Arabidopsis thaliana: one gene and its partner. The protein of the gene in region 2 interacts with the protein of the main gene of each other region in a pairwise test. Each region holds a gene or a part of one and is shown on either strand. Other genes may lie near its edges.

Region 1 (7,774 bases), about 16 Mb from region 2:
TGGCAAATCAGTCTTAACTTATTTCATATAATATGGACACCAATTTAAATCTGGATATTTGAGATGGGTTAGTTAGTAGTTAAAAGGGTATAATGGCTTGGTTCAACTACTTTCTTCAAAGCATGACGCTTGGTATGATAGTTCGGCCCATATATTAAATTTGATCCAATGTATAGACCCAATAGATTAGCACTCTTGTTTGCATCACTACATTACTCTAACCCACTATCGAATACTACAAAACTTTAACTGATTATTGAATCCTATCGTTTGGGATTAATTTGGTTCCAAAGAAATTCATGTGAGGAGATCACAAATAAATTGTTATCGAGATTTGGCCATTACTCTAACTTATCTAGAGCGACAAATATAATTTATAACTGGAGGTACACTATTTAGATCCTAGATTGTAGGTTTCGAAAATCTTGGGCGTTACAAGCAAAAACTCTTGGTATCATTGAATCCATACGTCATATAGTGTATAATTTATTTACAAATATATAGGTGCCTCATGCATGTGTCTGATATGTACATACTACTATAGACATAGATTTAGGGGGTAGAGCGTCACGACTCACGTGACAGTCCAAAGCTAAAATGGCTAGAAAATCAAACATATAGAATACGCGTAGGAATGCGGTATATACCTTTTTTATTCCTTCGTGCTTCTACTTTTGCATTTATTAAAAGATTGTTTCACACTTCTTTAACGTTAAAATAAATGAGCTAAAGCCTAAAATACTAAAGATAAACATATGCGTAGGCAATGCATTATAGTGTATTCATGTTTACCGATGTCATGGGCTCGATTGGTAACACCGAGAATGACGAAAGCGTAGACAAAAATGGTAGAATAAAATGGCATAAAGTCATAACGACAAAGCAAGAAAAAAACAATTTGATTAGAACTATGTTATTGTTGAATTAGTTTGTTATTTTTCATTAATCTTCCATAATCGACCTACGAATTTTCTTGCCTTTTATTAGTCCCTTCTATATCAGTAAATTCATTTTCTTTAAAACATATGTTTGAATCTGCTATACAATTAACAATGTGATCTCATATATGTTTAGACACAAATTGAACCTTTTCCGCAACGATTTTAAGTTGATACAAGAGTATTTCTATTGTATTAGTTGCAGTCATCATCATTATAAATTGACACAACAAAACCTCATTACCTAAAGTGGCATTATTTCACTGTATTCTCATAGAACTATAGAAGTCAAGTTATTTCTCATAGTTGAACGATATTTGACATCCACAAACTCTCTACCATCAAAAGTTATGAGTGTTACATTGCCAATCCGATATACCATCGAATTAGTGATCAATTCCTATAGTTACCTTTCCTCACATTCTCCAAAATCACGAACTGCTCAGTGCATCATGTCTTTAGAGCCCACTCATCCCCATCAAGTCGAAGAATCTACATGATTAAGTGTCATTAGAGTCAGTTTCTTTATATATTTAGCTCATAAATTAAGAGCTAGTAGTCTCGATCTCCATTACATGTTGCAGCGATTGATATTATACGTAAGTATACAATGCAGACATGCGTAAATCATCTTGTCCCAAACAAGACTTGAATCAGAAATCATACCTACCTCTTTTGAAATGTCGACGTCTACCACTAGACCACCACTTAATTGGTTAGTGTCAGTTCATTCTTTCATAATTTGAAACCTTCTAGCTCAACAAACATAAAACAAGAACAAATTCAACACACGTATTAAAAACTGTTGATCCCAACAACGAAAATACGACACACAGTAGTTGAATTTTCGTCACTTCGTTTTCATGAAATGGTTACGCTTTTATTCGTAGGTCCACCTCTAGTCACCACCACTCACACCAGTCATTAGCACTCGGTCCGTATTACTACTTAGATGATATGTTAAATCAATTTTGTTTTTTGATATAGTTATTGTTATTATATTTTTATAATATCACTATCAATCTCCCATCATCCCAAAGGCTAAAAAAACTTGATTACAAAACAAGTCATATCACATTTAAACACTTGCCGGTCCACTTTAGTATATCATCTTAGTTTGACTAGAAAAAAAAAACGTCATAGACACAAAATTTTTGGTTTTATCATTATCAACAACTCTGAAAATCATTTCATTTGAATCTGCAATTTCATTTCAAAAATGGGTCCAGTAATAAGTAATCAATATATTTTTCAATGAAATAATAAATAAAAATATATGTTTGGACAGCAAACTTTGCAGTTATGGGTCAGTACTCAACTGCAACAAAAAGAACACATGGTCTCTCTTACAGATCTCTATCTCTTTCTCTATCCCCACTCCCATCAATTTCCAAGTTTTATTATTAAATTATCTTGATTTGGTAGAGAGTTTGTTTTGTTAAAAATATGAAAAATTTGAAAACCAAATTAATTAACAAATGAAGGTTGGGTGGGGAAGAGGCAGATGTGGACACGTGGTGGGATATGATTGGGTAAAAGGAACAGTCAAAGGGGGCAAAGAGATTAGACCCGGAGACGATCGACGCTTATAGTCAAAGCAAGACACTGTCACGGTCAAATATTATGTCTAGCTGGCACTTTTGTTTGTGGTCCCCATCTCACTCCTCTCTGTTTTTTTTTTCTTTTCTAATAGTGTGTGATATTTATAAAGTATATTTCTCAAAAAAATATTTATTTTTAAAACTTTTTTATTTTGAAACTGCAATTATGTGAAACAATTTAACCAATTTTTAAATGTTGTTTTTATATAAAAATTCTTATTCGTCAGCAGATTAAATCGATTCAAAAAGTTGTTTGGCAATAAGCTTTTTTAATAGCTATTATAATTTTTTTTGAAGTAATATTATAGGGAAATATCCGTTTGGGTTAGAATTTAATATAATAAATCTAAAATATAGGTTTAGATTTAATTGGGTTCGAATATATTCGGGTAAATACTTGAATTTTCGGATAAAATTTTGGGTTTAAGGTAAAATTTATATTTTCGAATAAAAATATTTGAGTATTTTTGGATTGTGGTTGGATTCGATTTTTTTAGTTTAGGAATTTAGAATTCAATATAATAAATCTTTCGATTCGGATTCGGTTTTAGATCCAATTATTTGGGTCGGTTTCGGTTCGGGTAATCGGTTTCGGTTTTTTTTTTCAGTTTTAATTTTTTTTATATACTAAAAAGAGGTGAAGGAAGGTATTGGTATAACAAACAAAAAATCAAGAGTTGTTCCTTTGGAATTAATAACGATGATAAGATTGAAATTAAAAAAGTAATTAAGAAATTAAACATAGAAATTATCGTCACACGTGCCCCGACCTGTACGGGTTACTCTTCCCCGTGGGTGTTTGGAGTTTAGTGCAAACTTCTCAGCTTTTTTGACTACGTTGCCGGATTTTCTTTACTCTTTCATTTTTACCACTTTACCCTCATTTTTGTTTATCCTTCAACATTTTTTTTGTTTTTTTAACAAAATCCTTAACCTTAACAAACATCTTTTTAACATAAATGGGAAAAGTATTTATCCTTAGTTAGCGTGGATATTAAGAAAAAAAAAGCTAAAAGAAAATTTAGAATTTCACTGTTGTCTTTTTTTGACTAATTAAAGGATATTCCCAATTTTAAATCCAAAATATTATCAGAAAAAACTAAAACTATTCATTCACATACCAAAGTGTTTATTCCACACTTTATTGGAAGGAACAATTACATCTCCTGTATAATTTGACTGAAATAATGTGTTTAAAATTACTAATTCTTTATTATTGGGAGAATTTTCTTGGTTGCCTAATTAATTACGTTTTAAAACTATAAAAGGTAGGGACAAAATTGGAAATCAAAATTATTAAGCTGAGTTTTTCAATGGTAATTAAAAAAGAGAGTTGTATTATAATAAAACCGGGAGGTGAGGGCATGTCACATGTGGTGTAGCTTGCACGTGTGGTACGCGAGTCGAGAGGACTAAATGACCGGCTATAACCAGTGAATTCACCGGTCACCTTATCTTTAATTTTTTTAGATTTTCCACCCGAATCTTTCAACAAATCTTTAATCTCTCCCCTTTTTTCTCCTTTTTATTTTATTCACCCCATTTTTTTTTCCTCTCAAAGAAACAAAAACAAAACAATCACTCACACTACCTCAGAAGAAGGTAAGAGAGAAACAAACAAACAAAAGAGAGAGTACGGGTTTCTTCTTCGTCATTCTCACGAATTCGTGAATTTATTTTTGATTTCGTCATCTGGGTTTTCTCAAATTCTCTTCCTTTTTTATCTTTTGAGATTTTCTGGTATTGAAAGTTCAAACCTTTGTACTGGGTTCGTTGATTTTTTTTTGGTTTCCTTCTCATTATTCTTCATGATTCCTCCTTTTTTCTGTTTCTCGAAATTTGTGGTTATAAAATTCACATTTTTTTTGGGAGCAGTTGGGTTTCAATCATGTGTTTATGATGTTATATTATTAACAAGAGTTGAATGAATCTTCTTTTTGACCGTTGAAAAGAGAAAAACTAAATTAAAGCAAAGAGGAAAAAGAAGAAGAAGAAGATTGTGTTGTTGTTGTTGTTTTAACGCTTCTTTCTGAGATAAAGACATGCGTTTCTTTTTCAGCTCACATTATTTTCCCAAATGTTGTGAGTTTGAGAAGAAAAGTCTGTTTTTTTATTGAGATTTTTTTGTTTCTATAGATTCTATCGAAATGCCGATGTTTCAGCCGTTAAAGAGAGATGGGTTAATAGGATTTGAAGGTGGTGGTGATGGGCAAGTCTTAGATCTGGATACTGCAGTGAAAGATGGAGTTCTCGGTGGTGTTAATGGTGGTGGTGTTGGAGTTGTTGATGAGAAATTGGATCTGAAGAAGATGATAAAGGAGCTAGATTTACAAGATATACCTTCTGTTTTCATTTGTCCTATCTCCTTAGAGCCGATGCAAGATCCTGTGACTTTGTGTACTGGTCAAACCTATGAAAGGTTAAACATTCACAAATGGTTTAACCTAGGTCACTTGACTTGTCCTACTACAATGCAAGAGCTTTGGGATGATACGGTAACTCCTAATAAAACTCTTCATCATTTGATCTATACTTGGTTCTCTCAGAAGTATGTGTTGATGAAGAAACGTTCTGAGGATGTTCAAGGACGAGCTATTGAGATTTTGGGGACTTTGAAGAAAGCTAAAGGTCAAGCTAGGGTTCATGCTTTGAGTGAGCTTAAACAGATTGTTATTGCTCATCTTATGGCGAGGAAGACTGTTGTTGAAGAAGGTGGTGTCTCTGTGATCTCTTCTCTTTTGGGTCCTTTTACTTCTCATGCTGTTGGATCTGAGGTTGTTGCTATTCTTGTGAGTCTTGATCTTGATTCTGATTCGAAATCCGGCTTGATGCAACCAGCTAAGGTTTCTTTGATTGTTGATATGTTGAATGATGGATCTAATGAGACTAAGATCAATTGTGCTAGATTGATTAGAGGATTGGTGGAAGAGAAAGGGTTTAGAGCAGAGCTTGTTTCAAGTCATAGTTTGCTTGTTGGGTTAATGAGATTGGTTAAGGATAAGAGACATAGAAATGGAGTATCTCCTGCACTTCGGTTGCTTAAACCGATTTCGGTTCATAAACAAGTTCGAAGCTTGATGGTTAGCATTGGAGCAGTGCCTCAATTAGTTGATATCTTACCGTCTTTAGACCCGGAATGTTTGGAGTTAGCTCTGTTTGTTCTTGATGCTTTGTGTACAGACGTGGAAGGAAGAGTTGCTGTCAAAGACTCTGCAAACACAATACCTTATACAGTTAGGGTGCTGATGAGGGTGTCTGAGAATTGCACTAACTACGCGCTGTCGATTCTTTGGTCTGTCTGCAAATTAGCTCCAGAAGAATGTTCACCACTTGCTGTTGAGGTTGGTCTTGCTGCAAAGCTGTTACTCGTGATCCAGAGCGGGTGTGATGCAGCGTTGAAGCAGCGGTCAGCAGAGCTACTTAAGCTTTGTAGTCTACATTATTCAGACACCATGTTTATTTCCAAATGCAAACTCACAAGGACAATCCAATAGCATTGGCACTGATTGATCACAGGATTCAGCGGGTTATCCATGAAACGGTAAATGTGCATTGCATTACGAATCTGCCTTTGCCCTGATGTATATATAGATGATGAGTTTGAAGATTGAGCTATTGGTTTTGGTGGTAACAATTCAAAGGAAGAGGCAATCAGCTGATGGAAACATGGGGAAGACGAAGAAACCGGGTGGTTGAGGGATCGGTATGTAATGTTACCATATTGGTTCGTTTTGCAATAAGCATTGGGAATTAGAAAAAAACTGTGTAAAGTTACCGCCTCTGGCTCAAATCAATTTCAGAAGAACAAAGAAAAAGAAGAATTTGAAGAAAGGAACCATATTAAGTTAAACCTCTCTACTTTGGGTTCTTGTGAGAGGTTGTTTTGCTTTTTGACCATTCACAACAGAGAAAAAAAAAAAAAAAAAAAAGCAAAATCTTTGACCCTGAACTTGTAGAAGCCTCTTTTAAGCTTTTGAATCTTTTTTTCTTCATTCAATGTTTTCTTTTAGCTTTACTTAGATTAGGAATTAGACAATTGTCATGATTTCATCTTTGTTCTCAGCCTCCTTATTGTCTTCAACGAAGTAAATATCAAAAACGTGATTCTTGAAAAATCAATCACTGTTATTGCATAGAGTGACATCTCAAAGTACAGTATGATGTGAATTTTGATTCTTGTCTAATAAGTAGAGCACATAAGTTGTGGTGGAGACCAAAAGTCTCCATACATTGTTCTGAACTACTACTGTTGTAATGAACAATTGAAAAGAAATGTGAGATTTGACAAGTGAATCATTCAACAATTTCTACTGTTTTTTAACACAAAAATAAACATAGGCTTATTTTACTTGTCCTGTTTTTGGAAATGAGTCTGAGCAAATCTCTGTTTTGAGTGGGTTTGTGTATAACACAGTGTGATGTGAGAGTTTTTGTCTTGACATATAAAACTCTGTAACAGAGAATAACAGTAACCAAACCTATAGATGGGCTAGATATTGTACCTTATGGGCTTTAGCTACTAAGCCCATTTGCATAATTAAACAACGACGTTTCTTAAATTGAATGGTGTCCCGCATACCCTAGCCCCTAGATGGGCTGGACTTTCAATCTTATGGGCTATTTTTACGTAGCTCATTAACTAATCCAGCGACGACGTTTCGTAAGGTTGAATATTTAGCGTCAATGGTGTCTCGTTAAAGGTCGCGGATTAAGAGAGAGATACTCGAGAGACTTGTGAGAGATCCCCAAAAAAATGGCATGGCTTGCTAGATCCATTGCGAATTCTCTGAAGATCGATGAGGAAGAATATGATCAAAAGGAAACGATTAAGACCAATTCGATTGAAAATTCCGGCTCAGATCAACCGTCTTCGCCATCGGTGTTGCAAACACAGTCTCCACGAGGCGTGAAGGAAGACATCTCTGAACTCACCAAGACCTTAAGAAGTCAGCTATGGGGCGTTGCTTCTTTCCTCGCGCCACCTCCTTCTTCTTCCGATACGGCGGATCATGTGGATGAGGAGACTCGGAAGTCATCGGATCTCGCGGAAGGTGATGAGGATCTGATTGCTGGAATCAGGAACGATTTCGTTGAGATCGGAGGTAGATTTAAGACTGGGATCTCGAAACTCTCTGGAAACTTACCGGTATCGAAGTTTACAAATATGGCTTCGAATTTCTTGCAATTGGGATCGGAAGGTGTGGATTCGAAGAACCGTGATGTTGCGATTGGAAA
Region 2 (7,774 bases):
ACAAGAGGATCATTTGGGTTCGGGTCAGTCAGCAGCGAGCAAATCGACAACAAAACCTATATAATTCCACACCATCAATATCACTCGCACAAAGTTCACCAATATACTAGTTTTTTTTTTACAGAACATGACTTTGGTAAAAAATAGTAGTAGAGAGACAAAACTCAAACCTTGGATGTGGTAGGAGCAGGACTCCATTGCTCTTTCAATATGTCAAGGCAAATGCTTCCTTTGCTGTCGATGTTTGGGTGGTACACCTTAGTCTTGAAATTCACCTGCAAAATCGTACACTCGCTAATAAGCCTGATGATCATAGATTTTCATTACACATCAGATGATTAAATTAGTGTTGAAAAAACACAACACCTTTGGTGGCTTGAAAGGATAATCCGAAGAGAAATCAATAGAAACCGTAAATACGCCTCCGGAATACGGACTGTCATGCGGTCCCATGATAGTTGCTTGCCAATGGAATATGTCCTCCTCAGCCACAGGACCTATAAGAAAGACGTTGCAATCAGACCCATTTATTCATCGAAAAAGACAATAAAACCTGCATGATCAAGTGATACTTCTTATAGAACAGAGACAAATTGGCAGAATAAATAAGAAGTACAAAAGGAGACACTTGAAATAAAAGCAAGCTAAACCTCTGGATATTCTTAATCGTACCAGGCAAAGGTTTAACGAGTTTTCTCGAATACAAAAAAAAAAAAAAAAAAGGTTCATGCAGAGTACATATATATAACAGAACCAAAGAGAGTCTAACAAATCATAGCGTTACCAAAAAAAACTCAGAAACATATAATGTGGATTGATGAAATAAAAGTGTGACATATATCAAACCCTAAAAGTGTTTTTAGTGTGAATCTATCAGTCAAAATCAGCCAAGAAAAGGGAGATTACCTGCGCTACAGTTTGCTGGAGGATGTCTCTGCATATCCCTCAGTTCCCTTGAAATCCTCTTAGAAGCCATGCTTTTAGACTCGAAAACCTGCGGACGAGATAAGCAACACACAATGAGTATTAAGGAATTCAACTAAGAACATAACATATCATAGAGGAAGACGAATAAAACAATACATACGTAACGTAAGTGATGATAAACCCTAAGAAGTAGTTGAAACAGAAAACATAAAGGAAAGATGGATCAAAAGAAACATACCACAACAGGAGATTGAATCTTTTTTTCAAGGCCACTACAAAAGAGAGAAGAGATTCGTGAAAAGCCTAAAACCCTCTACTTCTTTTTTATAGTCGGAGAATACAAGTCAGTCTCGAGGCTTCTGATTCTGTCGGCAAGTACCGCCTGACCTATTAGTAGGGACCCATGGCGGATGATATTGGAAAATTGCAACCAAAGATATGTTTATTTTCTAAAACACCTATTCTTGGTTTGGTCTAAAGATATTCTTGGTTTGGTCTATAGATATGATATTTCCTAAAACAGCTATTGTAAACAATATGGAAAATTTCTTAAGTGTTTTATTAGAACCATGTACACTTTTGAAATATATTAAAAAAATTAAGAAAATCAATAATTTAATCATAAATATACCAACTTTGGTATAAGTTAATAGAAGATTAGGAACGAGTTTTGTATTTGGGAGCAATGTATAATCCTAACTATGGAAGGCTCATAGTTGGTTTGGTTTTGGTTGTGGTTGATCCATGTGTAGATTGGAACCCCTTATGTCAAGAGTGTACCAAAACAGTCCAAACATTGCGTTTGGGGCGATTAGAATTGCAGTTTCCTGCAACCAAGTGAGGAGAGGGAAACAAGAGAATAAAAGTAGACCCAACAATCGAAATTAATACTAGTTTATAGTGATCAGAACAGAAGAGGAGTAAGAGCAGCTAAGTTGTTCGATACTTGCTAACGTTTGATAAACCAAACAAGTGCATTTTTTTTAAGTTATTATTTTATTCCGATGCGCAATAACATATCCTTTGCTTTGTCTTATATCATCAACCCATTGCGTACTTTTGTGTCCAGCTTCTCGCAGTTGACTCGTACTTGGATCTATCTGTCTTGTACATGTGAGCTATCTCCGGCACAAGAGGATCATCTGGGTTTGGGTCAGTCAACAGCGAGCAAATCGACAACAGAACCTAATTTCCACAGCATCAATATCGCTCGCGTTAACACACAAAATTGGCTAAGATAGTAACATAATTTGTGTTAAAATGGTAGGAGTAGAGATACACAAACTCGAACCTTAGAGATAGTAAGAGCAGGGCTCCATTGCTCTTTCAAAATATCAAGGCAAATACTTCCATTGCTATTGATGTTTGGATGGTACACCTTAGTCTTAAAAGACACCTGCAAGATCGATGGATTCACATCATAAGATCAATGATAAAAACCGATGAATCATAAAGAGTCTCATAACACAACACATTACCTTTGGTGGCTTGAAAGGATAATCCGGAGGGAAATGAATAGAAACCAAAAACACTCCTCCGGCATACGGACTTTCAGGAGGTCCCATGATAGTGGCTTGCCAATGGAACATGTCCTCAGCCACCGGACCTAAAACAACGTGACAACAAAATTACATCAATAAAGACATATTAGCAGGAGCTACAAAAGGAGACACTTTGACATAAACTCAAAACCATGCAGAGTTCTGGATACTTGTCAAATACAGGACAGGAAAGGGTAAATATGAAGTGCATAACAGACAACAAAATCCATGAGATCAGCGTTAATCAAAGAGTCTAGCAAACCAAAGCTTTTACCAAAAAAAAAATCAGAAGCATAACATGGATTGAGGAAATAAAGTATGATACTTGATACCCTAACCTACATCAATCTAGTGAGAGAGTAAGGAACCTAATTCAGAGTCATTAGTGCCAGGTAAGTAATTGGTTAAAATCAGATTAGAAAAGGGAGATTACCAGCGCTGCAGTTTGAAGGAGGATCCTTCTGCAGATCCTTGAGCTCCTTCAAGATCCTCTTAGAAGCCATGCGTCAGAGACGAGAAAACCTGTGGAAACCCCCAACAAGACCAGAATATTATTGAACAGAGGATATAACTTAAGACAATCAACTTAAGAACAAAACAGATCACAGTGGAAGAACCAGAGACCGAACAAAACAACACAAAACGTAAGTGATCGGAAACCCTATTATTAAGCGGTGGAAACTAATCGCGCAAAACAAAAACAGAGGACGATTCGGGAGAGAAAGAAATTAGGGTTTAACCAAAGAGAAATGGTGGAATTAGACCTGGAAGAAGGACGGACAACACAAAGCGAGAGCTTCTTTATCGGGAGAGAAGAGAATCGAGAATAAAAATGGAGTGCAAAGGAGAAAACGAAACTTGTTACTTTGCCTTTCTTTATAGTCAGAGAATCTAAAACAAGTCAGTCTCGAAGCTTCTGATTCTATCAGCAAGTACCGCCTCACCTATTTCACCTTTTCTATATATTTATTAATTCTCGTGCCAAAAGTTTTTTTATTTCACCAATTAGGACTCATGCAGTCAAAAAATACAGAGCAATGATTTTATTTTTATTTATTTACTCATGTAGTTTATCTTTTTGAGACGATAAATTTCACATATAATTGTATCACTATTTCAGTTAGATTTTCAAACACCCAAAGACTCTTGTGATTTAATTTAAACGAATCATACAACAACAAATGAAAATTCAAAACTAGTCGCACACTTATAACCAATCTAAGAACTACAACCATTCATGGTGAGGGTTTCAATTACACTACAATTCCAGATATTGATTGGAATAAATTATGCAGTCAGACATAGAGAACTAAAATAAACGGTTTATGAAGAAGAAGAAGAAGGAAAAGCAAAAATAAATAATGATTTGAGAATGAGAGAAAGAGAATTTAAAACCAATCTAAACCGGGCTATCAGAGCTTCTGATCATCTCCGGCGAGGAGGCTCTGTTACCAGAACCAGGACCGGACCCTGAAGGTCGAATCTCCTCCATCATGTTAACCACTTCCTCCATTGAAGGCCTAGAATCTGGATGCTTAGACACACATGCCATTGCTATCTGCAACATCTGCACCATTTCTTCCTCTACGTTGTGTTGCTGCTTGATCAGCTCTACGTCAAACACTTCTCCAGTCCACTCCTCTCTCACCACTGATTGCACCCACTTTGGCAGATCCACCACTTCTTCATGCCCAGTAGTCTTCCCTGCTGCTTTCCCAGTCAGCATTTCTAGCAACAGTACACCAAAGCTGTATACGTCGGACTTCTGGGTATGTTTCCGTGTTTCTATGGCCTCGGGTGCTCTGTAACCTAAGCTTCTTGATGGGATCAAGGTGTGATGGCTCATCAATGGAGCTATACCGAAATCAGAGACACAGACATGAAGTTCTTGGGTTAAGAGGACATTTGGTGATTTGATGTTTCCATGGAGGAGTTTAGCACCAGATGCAGAATGGATGTGAGAAATTCCCCTCGCAGCTTCCAAACAGATCCTTAACCTTGTTTCCCAGTCCAACGCTGCTCTTCCTCCCTCATTGTTTCCTGCATAGAATTCATCTAAAGTGTTACTTTAAAGCCACTTTTTATAACCTTGAGTAACATGTAAAACATCATATTACCATGAAGCAGCATGGAGAAATTGCCCCCTTGGTAGTAATCATACACGAGTAGCTTCTCGTCTTTTGAAAAGTAATAGGCACGGAGAGGAGCTACATTCACGTGTGGACTGATCCTTCCCACGGCTTCCATCTGCTGCTCGAACTCCCGTTTCCCAGCTGCTACTTCTTTCAGTCTCTTCACCACCACCGTGGTTCCTTCCTCTAAGATGGCCTTATACGTTGTGCCATAGCTTCCTTTCCCTAAAACTTCAGCCGAGGCTCTGAGCAAGTCCTCAAGATCAAAGTTATATGAACTTCCTTCAAAGAAGACCAGCTTGTTCTTCTCCGCCTCTTGCACCCCACTCCCAAACTCCTCAGCCTTGTTGTCACTCCTCCCGGGTTTAGCTTTTGGCACTGCGGTGCTATCTTGCCCGCCATCTCTTTTCTTGGCACAGCAAAGGGTTATGATGGCAAGAATGATAAACAACAGAACCGAACCTCCAACTGCAATGCCCACAATAGCACCAGTGGAGAGAACTTTTTTGGCGGTACCACGACCTATATTGGTTGTACCAGGACCTTCTGTTGGTGTTGTCGGTGAAGGAGATGGTGCAGTGGTGTTTTCTGGGCATGGAGTCAGAGGAGCACCGCATAGAAGGCTATTACCTTGAAATGAGGATGCTGGGAAGGACTTGACAGAAGATGGAACTGACCCGTTAAGGTTATTGAAGCTCAAATTCAAGTATTTAAGGCGAGGAGGGAGGTTAGGAATTGGACCACTAAGAGAATTGTTTTGCAGGCTGAGATCAGTGAGCTGGGTAAGGTTTTGTAGACTCGTGGGAATGTTTCCCGAGAGCGAGTTGGCGGAGAGATCAAGATTAACGAGGCGATGAGAAAGGACGGGAGGGATAGTACCAGAAAAGTTGTTTTCATGAAAGTATAGTGATCGGATAAAAGGAAGTGAAAGAATGACAGATGGAATGTTCCCTTGAAGGTGGTTGGATCTAAGGCTAATGATCCTGAGGGCATCAAGCTTCTCAAATGTTTTCTCTGGTAAAGGTCCATAAAGTCCAGATCCAGGCAAACGGAGTGCGGTTACACGGGCGTTGTTCTTGGAGCAGGTGATACCAGTCCAAGAGGCACAGATTGGAATAGTGGAGTTCCAGTTGAGTTTGCGACTGTGAGGAACAAGAGATGCAAACTCAAGCAGTGCTTGCTTGTCCGATTCTATGTCTGCAGACAAACAACGGGAAACAAAAGTCGTGACCAAGAGGAAGAGAAACGCCGCAATAATCTTCATCATCAGTCCTTTGTTACACTCTCAGGCTCGCTCACATCAAAGCTTTCTCATTCAACAGCAACTGCAAGAGAACACAAAACACATCATGTAATGATTTATAGCCACATAAAAGCTAAACTCAATATGAGAAATGTATCTATGGATAAAGTAGCCAAGAATGACACCTACACATCACAGGTATCATGAGTAAAAAGATCATCAACACAACGAAAAGCTTCCTTAATAATGACAAAGATACAATAGCGTAATTTCTCAAACCAAAGTGGGAATGCTGATGATAAAGTCCAAAGCAACATTACTCGATTCTCAAATCAAAATATGAAATTATGGAAGCTATATGCACACATTGATTCAATCAGCTGAAATCTGTTTGACTTCAAATAATAAATCTTCACAAAAAAAACAAATCCAATTACGAAAGTAACTAATTTTAGACATAAATGTGTGCACAGATACTTGATTAACCCAGATCTGCAATCTACAAACTAGGGTTTCTCCAGCTAAGCTAAACGGAGTAATTGAAATTGAGAAAGAAGAAATCTTTTAAAGGAATAAACAACGAAGCTAATAAACCCCAAAACAAGAGGGAAAACAGAGATCGAAAGTGAGAGAGACCTTAGAGGTTGATTCAGAGGAGAATGGTTCAGGACATTGGTGAGCTGATCGTAGAAGAAGAAGAAGACAAGTGAGAGAGAGTGGAGAATAAATGCCAAAGGAAATGGGATAGTGGAGAAATCACTTTTTAACAACAACGGCATTTCGTGAAGAAGAAGCTAGAGCTAAAGTCAAAAGCAGAAAAGAGTGAGGAATCTGGAATCGCCATTGATGCAGATTCAGTGACACAACCCCAAGTGATTGAAGATTCAGAAGAGAGAGAGTGGAGATTTTTGAGAAATAAGCGTTTTGGGGTTTCTGGAGTATGGAAGCTTCGGCGTGACGCCGACGGAGAAACGTAAATCTCGATGTTACAGTTTCAGATTCCAATCTCTCTTCTTCTTCTCTGTACTCCGATTTGCTTTGCTCTCTTTGGCTTTAAGTCCCCCTTTGACTCTCTTCCGAATTTTTTAGATTTTTTTTTTATTGCTAAGCTCAATTAAATATTTGTCCTTTTGTTAATTTCTCTTTGTTTTTATTCTAAATGAATTTATACATAAGAGCTTTTAATAAACGGCATTTACTGAATTCCCAACATTTAATTTCCTTATTCTTTTAAAAGCATCGTAATGTTCTATTGAATGGGTCACCAGTTGATTAAATAAATATATGGCTTCTTTTTTGAAAATATGCAATGTATAAATGAAAATGGATGATTGTGATATTCGTTAAACAATAAGAAGATAAAAGTATTTCAAGATCAAAAAATGGGCAAGGAAAACAACAAGAGTGGGGAATATTCAACAAATTATTATATGTTGCAAATTGAGCTTACTTTATTTGATATTTTTAATTCGGGTAAGAGGGTATCTTTCTTAAATATGGACCCCCTGAAGAGGAGGAGTTTGGTATGTGACATTAATGAGGGTATTTATTTATTTTGGGGTAACATAAAAGAGAAAATAAATAACAAAAATTTAAAACTTCTTAAATCTCAAATATGACATTAATGAAAGTCAATTTCTGGAATTAATTTTTTTCTTTTATCAGAACTACACTGGCCTGTTGTTGGTTGTGTGCTTCGTTGTCACCCATTATTAACTTTAGCTCTGTCATTGATTCACGTTAGGCGCGTGAGTCGTGTGACCCTCTCTTTCCTCTTTTCACATTCTAATTGTTTTTTCGTTCATGATCGTTTCCAACAAGAGTGAACATGAGGTACCCTCTTATACGTTACCATCTCTTCAAATATTATAACTACAAAGTTACAAACCTCACTCAATAGCCATGAATCAAGAATCAATAACCAAAGAACC

What was found.
Region 1: the proteins of UBC11 (region 2) and AT3G49810 interact in a two-hybrid assay, tested with the Arabidopsis thaliana proteins (one large-scale study listed by BioGRID).

Annotation. Positions count from the first base shown.
Region 1 is NC_003074.8:18,473,195-18,480,968, reverse strand, and holds AT3G49810 (ARM repeat superfamily protein), read left to right. Parts: upstream 1-3,936; 5' UTR 3,937-4,686; coding exon 4,687-6,033; 3' UTR 6,034-6,664; downstream 6,665-7,774. Other genes in the region: AT3G49800 (BSD domain-containing protein), read left to right, coding at 7,293-7,774. UniProt on the Arabidopsis thaliana protein: Functions as an E3 ubiquitin ligase.
Region 2 is NC_003074.8:2,636,684-2,644,457, reverse strand, and holds UBC11 (ubiquitin-conjugating enzyme 11), read right to left. Parts: upstream 3,447-7,774; 5' UTR 3,233-3,446; exon of another isoform or gene 3,093-3,232; intron 2,991-3,092; 5' UTR 2,972-2,990; coding exon 2,902-2,971; intron 2,534-2,901; coding exon 2,406-2,533; intron 2,324-2,405; coding exon 2,219-2,323; intron 2,113-2,218; coding exon 1,969-2,112; 3' UTR 1,539-1,968; downstream 1-1,538. Other genes in the region: UBC12 (ubiquitin-conjugating enzyme 12), read right to left, coding at 1-56, 171-275, 367-497, 907-976; AT3G08680 (Leucine-rich repeat protein kinase family protein), read right to left, coding at 3,868-4,508, 4,586-5,867. UniProt on the Arabidopsis thaliana protein: Accepts the ubiquitin from the E1 complex and catalyzes its covalent attachment to other proteins. Mediates the selective degradation of short-lived and abnormal proteins.